2 linked regions of the Bombyx mori genome follow. The protein of the gene in region 1 purifies or fractionates together with the protein of each later gene. This does not show direct contact. Links are inferred from orthologs where the notes say so. Each region holds a gene or a part of one and is shown on either strand. Other genes may lie near its edges.

The links.
Region 2: the proteins of muskelin (region 1) and E3 ubiquitin-protein transferase MAEA purify together in Homo sapiens (affinity purification with western blotting; 3 studies listed by BioGRID and IntAct, with this or other methods). This does not show direct contact. The link is inferred for Bombyx mori from reciprocal best matches to the Homo sapiens genes MKLN1 and MAEA.

Annotation. Positions count from the first base shown.
Region 1 is NC_085125.1:2,155,665-2,163,123, forward strand, and holds part of muskelin, read right to left. Parts: exon of another isoform or gene 7,059-7,459; 5' UTR 6,999-7,058; coding exon 6,919-6,998; intron 4,099-6,918; coding exon 3,886-4,098; intron 2,830-3,885; coding exon 2,628-2,829; intron 2,541-2,627; coding exon 2,348-2,540; intron 1,093-2,347; coding exon 914-1,092; intron 1-913. UniProt on the Homo sapiens protein: Component of the CTLH E3 ubiquitin-protein ligase complex that selectively accepts ubiquitin from UBE2H and mediates ubiquitination and subsequent proteasomal degradation of the transcription factor HBP1.
Region 2 is NC_085132.1:9,957,127-9,964,685, forward strand, and holds the start of E3 ubiquitin-protein transferase MAEA, read right to left. Parts: upstream 4,332-7,559; 5' UTR 3,866-4,331; intron 3,789-3,865; 5' UTR 3,740-3,788; coding exon 3,701-3,739; intron 81-3,700; coding exon 1-80.

The sequences.
Region 1 (7,459 bases):
TATAGTCGATAAGGCAGGAATTGATGTTAAAGTACTTAAGTTTTAAAAATAGGCTTTTATAGAAAATTTAGCTAAAAAATTAAAAATAAATTATTTATTTATTATTATTATTTATTTATGAAAATCGGAAAATCTCGGAGAAGGCTCCAACCGTCTCCGATTCAGATTATATATACAGTTAAACCTGGATAAGCGAGAGTTCAAGGGAGCACAATCTCATTCTCGCTTATAGAGGTTTCTCACTAACCCGAGTTTCTTCGCTAATGCACCCTCTTAATTTCATTTCGCGATTTTCCGGATTCAAACGCATTCACTATTTTAAGTTTATCACTTAATGACAGTACATTAATTTTCCGTTTTGACATGATGCAGAACAGAACTTTCCTTCGCAATTGATTAACGATAAAGTGACTAAGTCCGACAAACAGGACGGTACATAGGCAGCATACGTGTCCATTCGAAAAGAATACGATAAAATAACAATGTAATTTAGTTCCACGAAATAGAATAGGTTCAATATTGACGAGAAAACAATACAAAAACAATGTTAAGAAGTTCCACGAAAGCTAAGAATGGGTCATAAAATAGCAGATGTTAAATTTGTAATTTGTTTTGTCATTTGTTCCTCCTAAATAATATAAATAAATAAAGTTCGACTGTCGCTTATAGAGGTATAGATAAGTAGCAGTCTCACTTACGGAGGTCCATGAGAGAAAAACGACTCTCTCTTACAGAGGATTCTGTTTCTCGCTAATAGAGGTTTTGGGAGCTTAAAATGACGGGTCCTGGCTATTACTCTCACTCATAGAGTTTTCTCACTTACGCAGGTTTGACTGTATATACATATATATACAAGAATTGCTCGTTTAAAGGTATAAGATAAGTTGAGGGCGAGTCAAGTAGCGCGACTTACGGCGGCGTCGGGCCTGGGCTCGCGGTCGGCGCACAACAAGTCGTGCGGGGCGGCGGGGGGCCCGGCCACGTGCGCGTCCCCGCTGCGCAGCCGCTCCTCCACCTGCGCCGAGCACGCCGACATCTCGCGCCACTCCGGCCGGTACGGCTGCCACGACATGTACCACTCTAACTCGCCATCTGCACCGACGACACGAATATTTTTATTGAAGTGAAAACTTCTTTAGAATCGTTGTGATTTCAAACCGGATGCAACGGAAAAAACGACAGGTAAGAGACACAAATACAAAAATGTGTAGGATGAAGCCAGCAAAGAATGAGACAGAAATATACATACTATTTAATACAGCGCCATCTGTGAGATTTTTTAATACTAACGTGTGTATGCTCTTGTAGTGAATTTTAATTTAGGATTATACGTGAAATTAAAATATCAATTCACAGAGGGCGCTACCTTACAGTTATTTACTAATGACAAAATTTTACATATACTTAAGACGTTTAGGATAATTGTATTTTAATTTTGGAAGGTTTCACTTCTACCACGTGTGAATTGCACACATGTTTTTTTTTCTTTACTTTTTAGAATGCTTATATAAAAGCGGCTCTAAATAAAATAATAAAATGTTCTATGTCATGTAGCCTAAGTTACTCCTTATATCATCAGCTACCTATCAGTGAAAGTCTCGTCGAAATCGATCCAGCCATTCCAGAGATTAGCCGGAACAAACTGACAGATAGACAGACAGACAACAATTGTAAAGAATGCTATTTTGGTGTATGTACCGTACCGCATATATAAAAAGCGGTTATTTCAATATTACAAACAGACACTCCAATTTTATTTATAATATGTATAGATGTACAATCTGTTTACTTATGGCGGGGGTCATGGCCTCCCTGAATTTTTTAGCGGCGCATGCGCGTGACGGAACTAAAGGTTTCGCCACAACTTCCTTTTCAAACGGAATGAAAGAAAAGGACTATTTTCTTCCGATTCAGCTAGACGGGGCATTGATAAAGGCACAGAGAACAGAGGTATAGAGTAACAATGTTTTTAATTATCTGTGAAGACCTTAATGTACATTAATTTAACAACAGTATTGCCTGGACGATGCGTGTACAACGAATCACTTATACTTTTTTTTTAGGCGATGTCCTAATTACTTTACTTTCCCTAATATATAGTAACAAGACGGACAGAACATTGTTTAGTACTTGATAAACCAGGCCTAGTTTTTCGAGTTGGGTTCTTATTATAATAATCTGGACTTTTCAACAATGTTCCGATATTTATACATACATCTTTGGACATTTATTTAAAGTCAGATAACTCTAGAGTTTCTTGCACAACATTTTAAAAGCCCTCGAAGGCCTAGGTGAATAAAAACTTTTTGATTTTGTTTTTTTTTAAATTATGAATTTCATATCTCACCATTAACGGCTTGTTCGAAAATTTTCTCGGCCGCCTGATAGTCACCATTCTCGACTAAAGCGTTCCAGAGTTTAGTCTGTGTTGGCCCTTCGAGCTGCACTCCGCTTTCTCTAGACAAAGCTTCGAAAGCATCCTTGTAGCGTCTCCGCCTCAAGTGTTTTAGTAACAATCGCACTGCTTCTTCTTCTTTACGCTGTAAATTATGATATACAATATGTGTTCATTTCAAATGGCAAGTTAACGCATTTTTAAAACACGTTAAAAAAAATTATAAACCTACCAAATAAATTGTCTCCAGTGCCTCATTGAGAAGTTCTGCCTGATTTTTGCCATGTAACTCTATGTACCATATGGTATAATTGTAGGGAGGGCCCCACGACTGTAGTGGGACAATCTTTAGGTATTCAACAGGGAAGTAAAATCCTTCCTGTGTCCTGTGCCTCAATCTGAATGTTTCCGGTGTACTGTCTTTCTTCAAGCCACTGTGAATAATTACAAATTTCATTTCTAGTATAAATAAATAAATAAATATAAATATTTATTAACAATCACGCCACGTTAACTGGTCCCGTGATAAGTTCGTAAAGAACTTGTGTTACAGGTACCAGCTAACGGAAATAAATGTAAGATTTTTATTATACACATACATATACTTTATATACACCCATAACCCTGGAAAGACATTTATATTTATCATACAAATATCTTCCCTTGGCGGGATTCGAACCCGCGACCCCCTTGTGCAGTGACCATGTCACTTACCACTACACCAGACGGCCGTTATGTATGTTTCAGAGTATTTCAAATGGAGATCAAATAACGGGAGCATAGCCCAATAATAAGCCTGGTGCAAACAGCATTCACTCAAAGACTCAGGATGAAAATTCCATTCAGTAAATATTGAGAATTGCTATGAGCGCAAATTGTTACACCACAAGTTAACCAGCTTCATCATAGTCAGTTGCTCTTGACAGAGCAATCTTGGTTATGTGGATCCTTGTTCATTATAGTCTTGACAGCTTGAGGCTTATTATTATTATTATTATATATTATTACAATTGCTAACTTATACTTGAGTCGACTAATATCAAAGCCGGCAATGTGACTTTTGGACAATTACTGGTAAATCAGAAAAACGAATTATTGACTTTGTATTCCATTGGCAGTCACAAAACTCTTCTGAACGACATCTTAGATAAATAACAGGTTAAGTATTAATCTTTATTTAATGCAGGTTTTGAACCGTATTCTTTGAAGGAGACAATTATATTCAAATCAATCTGTATTGACATATCAATAACATTTTTTTGTCCAAATGCACAGATTGCCACCTTTGATAATAGACGACTCACTTGTGAAAAAAACCATCAAGATATAAAACGTTAGAAAGTGTTTTCTCAATATGCCTGAAAGTGTTTGTGTTATTATAACTGTATATACGTCAAGTCCAATTTACAACAAATTACTTAGTCTTGCTTAATTAATTATTACAAAATGAAAATAGCTTATTATCCTATACAAACAAGCCAACAACTCACGCAGTCAACAGCAGAGACATATTGCTATCTTCTGTTCCACCATAGACCTGAAACTTTTTGAGATCACTAACGAGTGCCTTGATATATTTTCCGAATTTGATTGTTTCAACTATAGAGGGAGAGTCCAGTTTTATAACTATGAATTGTGGTGAAACGCAGCAGTCTGTGAACCACCTTGACAATGGATCTGATGGTTGATTCACTATGATGTTCCTGAAAAAGAAAAATTTGAATTTTATAAGATGTATGGGCAGCTCGATACCTTAACTGCTACATTAGATTACTTCTGCTCCATTCAGCAACTTCTAATCATTCTACCTAACTATTTGAGTAGTACTATTAAACAAAGAAGTTTTATTGTATCTACAGTTGAACCAGCTCAAGAATCTACGGGTATTAAGTGATTACATTATCACAAAGTGAATATTGCCTTAAGACTTAAGGTATATTTCTTAAGTGTCCATTAACTATGCATATTACAATTCTTGAAGGTATGAATGTTATTACACAATGTTATTCCTTCATCAATACAGCCATTCATGTGTTAGGTACGTAGTACTGAATTCCTGAAATGCTCATTTATTTCTTATTAATTCTTCACAAATTAATTTTGCTTAAAACTTTTTCATATTGTTTATGGAATATTCAGATTTGAAGTAAATAACTATTATTTTCTGTAAGTGAGTTTTGGTGTGACTTTCAATACTAAATTGTTCAATAATGTGCCTTCTAGAATATAGTTCATCAATAATTGTTAAACACCAGATCCAGATCATGCTACACAATAATAACAGAAAATAGATTGCTTAGCACAAAGTGGCAGATTTCCCCGATTGATTAGCTAAATGTTGAGTGGTTACTTGAGCCCACAAGCAACATAATTCAAACGCCACCATCTTTAGACTTGAGGTTTTTATCGCAATAACTATTATTACAATTTATGTTGGTTTGATTTTTAGTTCTGTTATTACTTAGATGCTTAGATACGGTATGATAATATCGCTCAGATGATAGCAAGGTGAGCATCTGGCCCATCTATTGAGAAGTTGAGAAGGCTCATGACAAGTGTCATCACTCATCTTGAGACAATTGTGTGCTACAAAATAACTGTATATTCAATACAGAATGTGACTTGGTACTTTATTCTGTTCTCTCAACATAATTAAAGCTACCTACTTATGAGGTTTAAACTCGTTTTTATTATTTTTCATTTTATTATTTCAGTCATTTTGAATACTTTACATACAATGACCCTGACCATGAGACTACAAAATATTGAATTATAATTAGTTTTAATTAGTATGTGACTCCCTCAACTTAAGTCAACCAACAATCTTTGTTCAATTAATATAATAAAAGTTATAAAGCTGTATAATTGATTATTTCATTTGCATAAAAAATTGAACATATCTAACGTACACAATTCAATGCATTCTTGCATCATCCAAAGGCAGACAAATAAATCAGTAAATTTGTAAACGTCCTCCAAATGACAATATAATAATTGATGTTAATGTATGTGTGTATAAAGTGTGCACTGTGTACAGCTATGTTTTGTTAAAACAATTCTTTCTGATTATTCAATTTAAAACTGGGCAGAGATGAAGCCCAAGATTGTAAAAGTTTTTATTGGAACAAATATAATTAAGTGTATCAATATTTATTTTATTTATTTATTAAATTGCATCAACAAAGTGATCATCAATACAAAACATTGAACAATTGACAAAAGTTCATAACAGATGTCACCTCAATTATAGGTACAATTGACAGTTCATTAACTACAAAAATATAAAAAATAAAAAAAGATTTGATTACATTTGATTGATTGCTTAAGATTAATTTATATTTAATTGGGAAATGATCCGTGACAGATTTTTCCTGTAAGATATTATTACGGTTTTTTTTAATTCGGTCTTTTTATTTGTTTCTGAGATGAGTTGACGCACTCACGGCCCATTTTGTGTTAAGAAATTACTAGAACCCATAAACATCAACAACATAAATGCAGCCACCCACCTTGAGACATGAATTTTAAGGTTTTAGTTATAAAATTGCAATGGTTGCTCCACCCTTGAAAATAGAAACACATTACTGCTTCCACCACCAGTAATTATACAATATATATACTTATATATATATTTTTTAAGAAATGCTTAATGTAAAATTCACAAGTAGATCACTATTCTGCATACTTTTTTATTGGTTAAATAGGTGAACAATCTCACAGCCCTCCCGGTATGAGCCCATAGACATATCTATATGAATGCCACCACCCAACTTGAGGTCTAACTCAGTTGTATAACATAATCTTATTTCTGGTCTAAAGTTGTGTTTACTGATCCAAACACTGAGATGCCTAGTACACAAAAAGATTGTAACTTAAAAAAGGATATCTCAAGGACAATGGTATTTACAATCTGATGTCTGATCAGATGTCAGATCCTGTAAGTGCTTAACTGTATTTTATTAATTTAAAGACTTTTTTTCCTCTAAAACAAAACTTGTGTGTGGATTATTAACGAAATAGATATGGTGTGTTAAGTATCTAATAATCATAATTTTTATTTTACTTTACAATGTCTATCATGATATTTTTTTTATATTTTATAACTGCACATTTTTTACTCAGACATTTATGTGTACTGTAACAAATATAAAATTTCAATAATTTTAAAATATCTTATAGTGTTTGTAGTTCCACATATTTTGACAAAGTGAAAAATCATACTTCCTATCTTTTAATTTGGAATAACGATTATGAAATATTCAGTTACAGATGGTTTGTTAGAGCCAGATAAGCTTAATATGAAAATAACACGAGAAGAAGGCAAATAAACGGACGTACCTGTAGGACTAAAAATACCACGCGAAATTTTGCTTTCATGATGCATTGCAATTTTATAGTATAATGTAAGGAACGATTTATATGACGCAAAAACACAATATTATTATAAAAAAATTGTGGGAAAAAAACTTGAAAATACCGAATCAGCCTTCTCAAATTAGTCTTAATGAAAAATTTAAACTTACTCTGGAACATAGCCCGAGGAATGGCTCGAGCATTTGTGTATAGAGTACGAAAGCTGCACAGTCTCGTATTTATCTTCCATATTTATGTAATTACTGGATGCACACCAGGTACAAATTTTGTTGTCCTTTTTTTAAAGCAACTAAAAACAATAATCACACAGCACTACGAGTGCTCAACTGACTTTGACACAATGAAGATCATAGATTATACACTTAATATATTCGAGATGAAGATTGTATTTTTTACTGTGATTTTTTCTCAGTTTATGGCCTGGTATCTAGACCTTTAGGTCAAACTGAAGATTGTATTTATTTAAGGGATTTTATGACCTGGTAACTTAGACCTTAAAGTCATATATTATTTTAATTTATATTTCTTATTTTTATGAAAAATTCTAATATGGAGTGAAATGAAGAATGAAGATTGTATGAAATTATCAGTGCGGCCACTCTAAAAAATGGTAATCTACTAAAACTACAAGACGAATGTATATCTAACACATTTGTGGTCACGAAAGAAATGTATATATTTATGTTTCAT
Region 2 (7,559 bases), on another chromosome or scaffold:
GCACTGCTAACCTGACGCGCCTCAACATCGAAGACGCGTTGAGCACTGCGGTACTTCTTGTTAAACACTTCATACGGCACCTGTGCATGATCGTAATTATACACGGTGTTAAGAAACTACCCGTAAAAAAAGGAGCTTAAATGGGGCCTTATAACGAGTCCATCACTACATAGTATAAAACAAAGTCGCTCTCTCTATCCCTATATCCCTATGTATGCTTAAATCTTTAAAACTACGCAACGGATTTTGATCCGGTTTTTTTTAATAGATAAAGTGATTGAAGCGGAAGGTTTATATGTATAATAACATCCATTAAATAGTTGAGAAATCAATAATAAATTACAGTTTCCGAAGTGAAGCGAGGGCGGGTCGCTAGTTCACAATATTTAACAGCCGTAGTAATGCTGTATAACAATAAAATAAATATTATTATTTGCACTCATGTGAAAATCCTATTTCAATAAAATTAAAGAGTAGGTAAGCAACGCAGAATGTACCTACATTTCTACCTAATTCGCGGAACAACAAAAGTTTTGACAAGGACGACAAGTACCTACTTGACTATAATGACATCCTTGTATTGAAGTAGCAAACATTTATGAATGAAAAATAGAAAAACTATCAAAGTAGACAATTATTACGTAAAATAGGTACGTAGGCCTTTCTGTTAAATTACTGCTTACTAGGGTTGACAAAATTATAGGCTTTGATAATTAATCATATTTTTTACGGGGTATTTTGTAACACGTTATATATTATGTTTGTAATGAAGCAGCGTACCGAAAGTGAAAACTTATCTTCAATTGAAAAGTCTTCATTTATTTATTTATTTAATTAGCTATAACAACATAGTGAGCACTAATTCAGAATATAGGTGAATAGAAAAGAAGGTTCATATTAAGATCCCCTCAATTGTACAAATGACATTGCAATAGTTGACAGCATTATTAATAATTTTATTTATTTTATACATTGTAAAACTATTAATACCAAAATTTTACAATTCCATTCGAGTAACAAATTTCAGAAAATCTATACTAAATTAAAAAAAAAAAAGTTCTATTAATCATAACTCTATCGAGTCTTTAAAGATCTATTAGAACAAAAACTTAAGTAACTAAAAAATCATCAAGTATAACTGAACAGTGATTTAATTGTGTTAATTCTATATATCTGAGAACATAATATATGTTTAGTTTATTTTTTGTTCATTATTACTTTACCACATACTATATTATGCATACATTTACTAACATGGCATACATTATAGCAATAATATTATAGAATTTACTGGTGGTAAGATGTCTGCCCACATGAGTAGGGACCACATAACTATTTCCTATTTAAGAGCTTATACTCTTCACTTGAATTCTCGTCCATCCCGAAGAATGAAAACGAAAAAATCTGTAAAGCAATGTGAAATTTAGGGCTACCTAGGCAATGTTGTAAGATAAACATGTTGCTTATAAAACTTTCCTTCAAATTCAGTGAAAAGATGATGATAGAGCCTCATTTATTATATAACATGCCTATGAGCTCATAAACATGACAATACCAGGAATTACTCTACATTTAAGAACAGTTGAACTGTGGCAGAAATATGTATGACAGTGCAGATCCATGCACACAAGCTTCTGGAATGCCCATAGAAACTTTTCTTTTCAAAATGTAAATAGGCAGTACATTATTATTTTTTTGTTGCCCTTGTAGGCAGACGAGCATACGGCCCACCTGATGGTGAGTGGTTACCGTCGCTAATAGACCTCAGCAATGCCAGGGGCAGAGCCAGGCCTCTGCCTACTGCCTATTACCTACCTATTCAATAATTCTTTGACACTGACAACATCTATAAAATAACTTGCAATCATCCTTTGTTCAATGAAATTGTTGAGTAAAAATATGAGTGTTATTGATAAGGTTGCTGTAAACGATGGTGAAATTCAAATCACATTTTTACAGCTCTGTGATAATACAAGCGAAATATTTAGATTTGATCATGACTATGTGGCAGATGTTACAATGGACTTTTATAGAAGCTCTCTAACTCAAATATAGTTTTAAAAAGCAACAGAATATTTTACAATTCTGATTCATCAGTAATGTTTTCAAAAAACAATAATTCTAATAATATTATATTTACCTATTGCTTACCTATCATATTTAAGTACCTATTTAAGTAATAACTAATTATCTTTCATTATTATGAGATTCATTTTATAGTCTATGACAAAAAATACAAGCCCTTTCAAAAGATATGATATGATATGATTTTAATTATTAAGTAAATAGTAAGAGTTCAATATTATAGTTACAATACATACTATAATATATATTGTTGATGTACATACATACATACATAGTTTTGTTACATAATTCTTAAGCTGCAAACTGTGATTAAAATAATAAATTGTAGTTTACACTTCTGTTCACATTTCCATGACAGAGAGTCCTTGAACAGATTTTTAAGCAAATGTTATAATTCAAATGTTCAAAATCAATTCCAAATTTGATTTATTGTATTTACATTTAAGCAAGAAAGCCGTTTGCTTGGGTGAGGAAAAACGCCCCCATATCAATGGATGTAAGAACGCTGAGAAGACTATTACAAGTTACTAAAGAAGCATCCATTCATTGCCAAAATTCAGTAGGCATGTTTACCATCACTGGTCTAATTGCGGGACTTCACCTCTACAACCAAAAACTCACCATCTACTACTAGTAGCACCACTAGTCCTAGATGATGATGATAATGACTACTAGTCCTAGTAGTATCTATGACATAATTATGTTGCCTACATTAGTTTCACTTTGTTTATTATAATTAAATTTTTTCTGGTAATCACTACATAGCTGCTAAAATTTGTCAATTTGTCTAATTTAAAATGGTAATATATTTAGCATGTGAATTAATTACTAAATATTACTGTTATTATTATATTGTATTGTATTATATTATTATATACATTGTAAAATGTAGAAACTATAAAATAAAAAAAAATTCTTTGATGGAAGAAATGATCCAAACACCTGTTTAGAAAAGTTTGCAAGTAAGCTAACCTGTTTTTATTGCAAAAATAAATATCTATTTAAGCATTATTATCAGACCTCACCAAGCAGTCAATGACTTCATCTGAGATGCTTATGCCATTGTTACAACATTTGTTCACAATATTAATTTTCTACATCATGTTCTCGGTCATTTTATATCATCTAAATTATTCTAAATATATGCTATACTCATTTCCTTATTTGCTTATACTTCCTATATACCAAAAATAAATTAATGGCGTTTTAAACTGTGCAGTTGGTTTATTTTTACAGTTAGTTTTAATTAGTTTTTAGCTTTTAGTTGGTTAGTTTTTAGCTTTTAGTTGGTTAGTTTTTAGCTTTTAGTTGGTTTAGTTTTTAGTTTTGATGGTTTATTGTTTTTAGAAATTATATGTGCTACCTATACTTGCGAGCTTACAATATGCCCTACCATCAATACAATGCTTAATTATGCTTGATATTGCAATATCAAGTCCTTTTTGTGATAAACTTAATTTGTAATATATAAAAAAATATTGGAGTTTCGTAATTTAAGAATAGTTTTTTGCCATATTTTTTATACTCGAATATTCGAGGCTTTTAAATCGATCTGTTTCGATCCATCATGTAGAAAAAGGGCTGATGTCATTTTTATAGACAATTTTAAACTTACCTTCAATGTCGCATGCTCCATAGATTTGATCTCATTCATTTTGAAAACGATATTCGTCTGAGCGGGCTGATGATTGCAAAATTATGACCTATATAAATAAAAACAAAACTCAGCTGACTTAATATTTGTAAATGGACGCAAAACCACGACGTAATGAATACTTGCAATATAATTAATTCCGCAATGTAATGGAAACTTTTCAAAAACAAATAATTTCACTTGAAATCTGATTTCATGATAGTTCATTAAGCGTAAAATCCGAATAAATAATACTAACTCTAATTCATTGAATTCGAGCCTTTAATCAACTCCTTGCGTTGTGGGTATCTTTTTCTTTTGACAAACAAATGTTCCTGTGGTTCATCAGCCAGCGAGTTGAGCAAGCTAAATTTGTATTTTGTCTCTGTCATTTGCAAGCGATTTCACAGAGATGAAGGATTGATTTTCAAGTTCAAAAATAGTTGCCTGCTGAGTTCAACAGTTGTTTTCTTTCCTCTAAAACTCTTCCATTTAAAGATTAAAACAACTGTTTTCGCAATCTCCTCCAGTATCTCTTTATCTTAATATATGTATAATTTGCCCAATAATTGTAATTTCTTCCCCAGAAACAGCTTTTAATGAAGAAAATTTCTCAAGTCTTCTTTATTTCAGAACGCAAACCAAAGACAATACATTCTTATTTTTTTCAGTATGGCAGACGGTTTTTTTAAGATGTCATTGCTGCCAGTATCGAGTTTAGTTCTTCAATTTTTATGATTCACATACCTACATTTTTAATTCGAAAAATGAAAAGGAGCGGAATGAAAAAGTTGAACTATCGGCAATACCAAAAGGAAATTGAATGAAATCAAATAAAATGTAATGACATGAGATGAAATGAAATAATAAGCTGGATTTCAGTACTCTGACTTTTAGGAAGGACCCGAGTATATCCCATCATAATTTTGGCTATCTATGATTTATACATGCTTGTCACAGATATTTTAATAATATGGAACAAGATTCAGAAATTAACATACTAATGCTGAAAAAAACTATTTGTATAAGGTAACTGCATAATATATTCCGTCCGTGTTAATTATTCTTCTATTTTAACGTTAAGATAATAACAAAATGTTGGATTGTGTACCCAATATGTTAATATTACTATTTGTTACTACGTGTTATTACTACTTACAATTATTTGAAATAAAACTAGTCCGATGTTTATCCACTCTTCCACCGGAGACTTATTGCAGTGTGCTAAAAAGTAACCCATCAGAAACTACTCCACAAAAGTCATGACCCTCAGCGGTGAGGATACAAGAAGTAAGAAGGAAGATAGAAGCCGGAAGGCCAGATTCCAACGCACAGCTAAAGGTATTTGACTTGTACGTTTTGAACTTCCCCCGCAAGTTAGTGGAAACTTAATGAATCATTCGTCCAATCCTAACTTTTTTTATTTTTTTTGTTGCCGTTGTAGGTAGACGAGCATATGGCCCACCTGATGGTGATTGGTTATGGTTTAAGCCAAGCGACGAATTCAAACGACGTTGTTTGTGTCCAAAATTGAATTGATTGATTGTTAAAAATATCAAATATGTTTATAGTTTTATATCTATATTGAATTTTAACGATAGGGTAATTTGTAATAGTTATTTCTGTAAAAAAATCAAATATATTTTTGTGTTTGTGTAGATTTAAAAGTTAAATTTTACTGAAGGCGACGAAATCGGTTTTAAGCAAAATCGACTACAACAAAGCCGTCAAATTACTTGTCATAGACAAATATTAACTGACTCTACCATTATTTGTCAGCATCGGCGCGTCAGCGCGTCACTTTCGTTACGCAAATCCGCCATTTTGTATGTAGCTGGCGGTGCTTCGCGGCTTAGTTTCTTCGTTTAGTGAATTTACCTACGATAAACTGAAGAACTTTCTTCTAACTGACTCAGCAAGCCGGCTGTTCATAAAATTGACGATTTTGTGATTTTAGTTTACTCATATACCTTGTGCATTCGTGATTTGTGAGTGTCCTGTAATAGGAGCGCGTGGCTGGTCTTTGTTGTTGGATTTCGCTTATTTACGGTAAGTTAATTTTCTAAACGACTTAAATTTTGGTGATGCGAGGTATAAACTCGAAGTGTTATTTATGTTGACTTTGACGAAATTGCTAAGTTGAAAGTAGCGTCGAAGCGGATAGTATCGGTGCGCGGTGATTGCCTCGCCGTGGCGATGAGGACCGACGACATTCCCGCGGCGACGCCGACGCGTCATCTCTTGCTCGCACGAGAACGTGTTGATCGTGATTCGGCTATTCTAGAAAACTCTACCTAGAATTTAGACTCATATTACTTAACACTAATAGTCGTTAAAATGAGAATCAAGCATTTAGTTCGGTTTCAATAAACTTGTGACAATTGTGAGGTTGTGATGTGTGTGAGCTGATAACTCTGGAATTTGTACAATTAAATGTCACGAGGTGAGATTGGCCGAAATATTGTTTACGATGCTACAAAATAACAAAACTTTTAAACATGAACCGAGTGTCTATTTGCAAATTTTGCTATTATAAAAATACTTTTGAGGTAACACAACTAAAATATTTAAATCACTAATATTAAATCAAGTACACAACTAAACTGGCGGAAAGCAATATAAAGTTATTTTAACTAAAAAGAAAATATGAATTTCTCTTACAAAAAATTTGAAAATTATTTAGAATAACAGCACTCAAGATATTGATACTGATGAAAGATACTACTTCTACAACTTTTATTTTCTAAAACACTAAAATGTTCTTCGGAATGATTAGTCACTCATTTAACTTTGCTATTGCAAATCGATGAAAGTTTGGATTTGGATCTTAACTATCCCTAAATATACATTGTGTTTTAATATTATGTGAACTTTTCATAGCCTTTAGAAATAAAACTTAAAACAGAAATCTTTTTTTAAATGTTTCATATGATTAAGTAAATACAGTTTAAGGAATGAATAATTTAATTGATTTATATTTCTGGATATATTTACCCAGACTTCTAGGTCTTCTTAATCGCAAAAATAATCAAGAGAAAATTAAACTTCTTCAAGTCGAACAGTAATGTGGTAATTTGTTTTGTGTTGGTTTATCTAACTGAATTATTCATTTTCATTTCATTCATTTAAATCAAATTAAGTTAATTATTGTATTGTAGTCTTGATACTCATTAAATAAGCAGGGTCCTTTAAAGATAAACAGGAGCCGACCTAATTTTACTGTCTCTAATATATTGTATCCTCCATACTTTAGTGGATTGTGTGTCAATATAGATTGTAAAAGGGCAAATATTGGCCAATGACAATATCATGATTGGTGTGTGTGTATATACTAGGGCAAAACTGTCACTTATGTACATATTAGTTATACTAATTATATGTAATTATTAAATTAACAATATAGAGCAACATATTTTCATTAAAAAGTCAGATTGTTTAAAATCCTCTGGACAATGAGTGAACCTTTAATGTATTAGCTTATCATCTATTTATGAGAAATGACGGTGTAGTGGTGAAGTTTATGTTAGTGGTGAGATTTTTCTGTTTATTAGCTGGGCAGAGCACGAATAGTATTCTATGACAGAATTAAATTTAATTACATGTGCTTACTCGTATAAGTCATACAAAATATTGATTTAAATAAAAAGAAATTGTTCATACATGGACTGGCATCATGTTCCTCCTAGTCAAGTGGTTATCGGAACCTAAAAACTACAATTGTGCAGTTTTTCATCTTGAAACATAAAATGTAAATCTCAGTAGAACTCTAATTATTGTGGCTAATAGATATGACAGAGTAATGACCATGGTGGTCCTCTGTGCTTAGTATAGGTATTAGAAC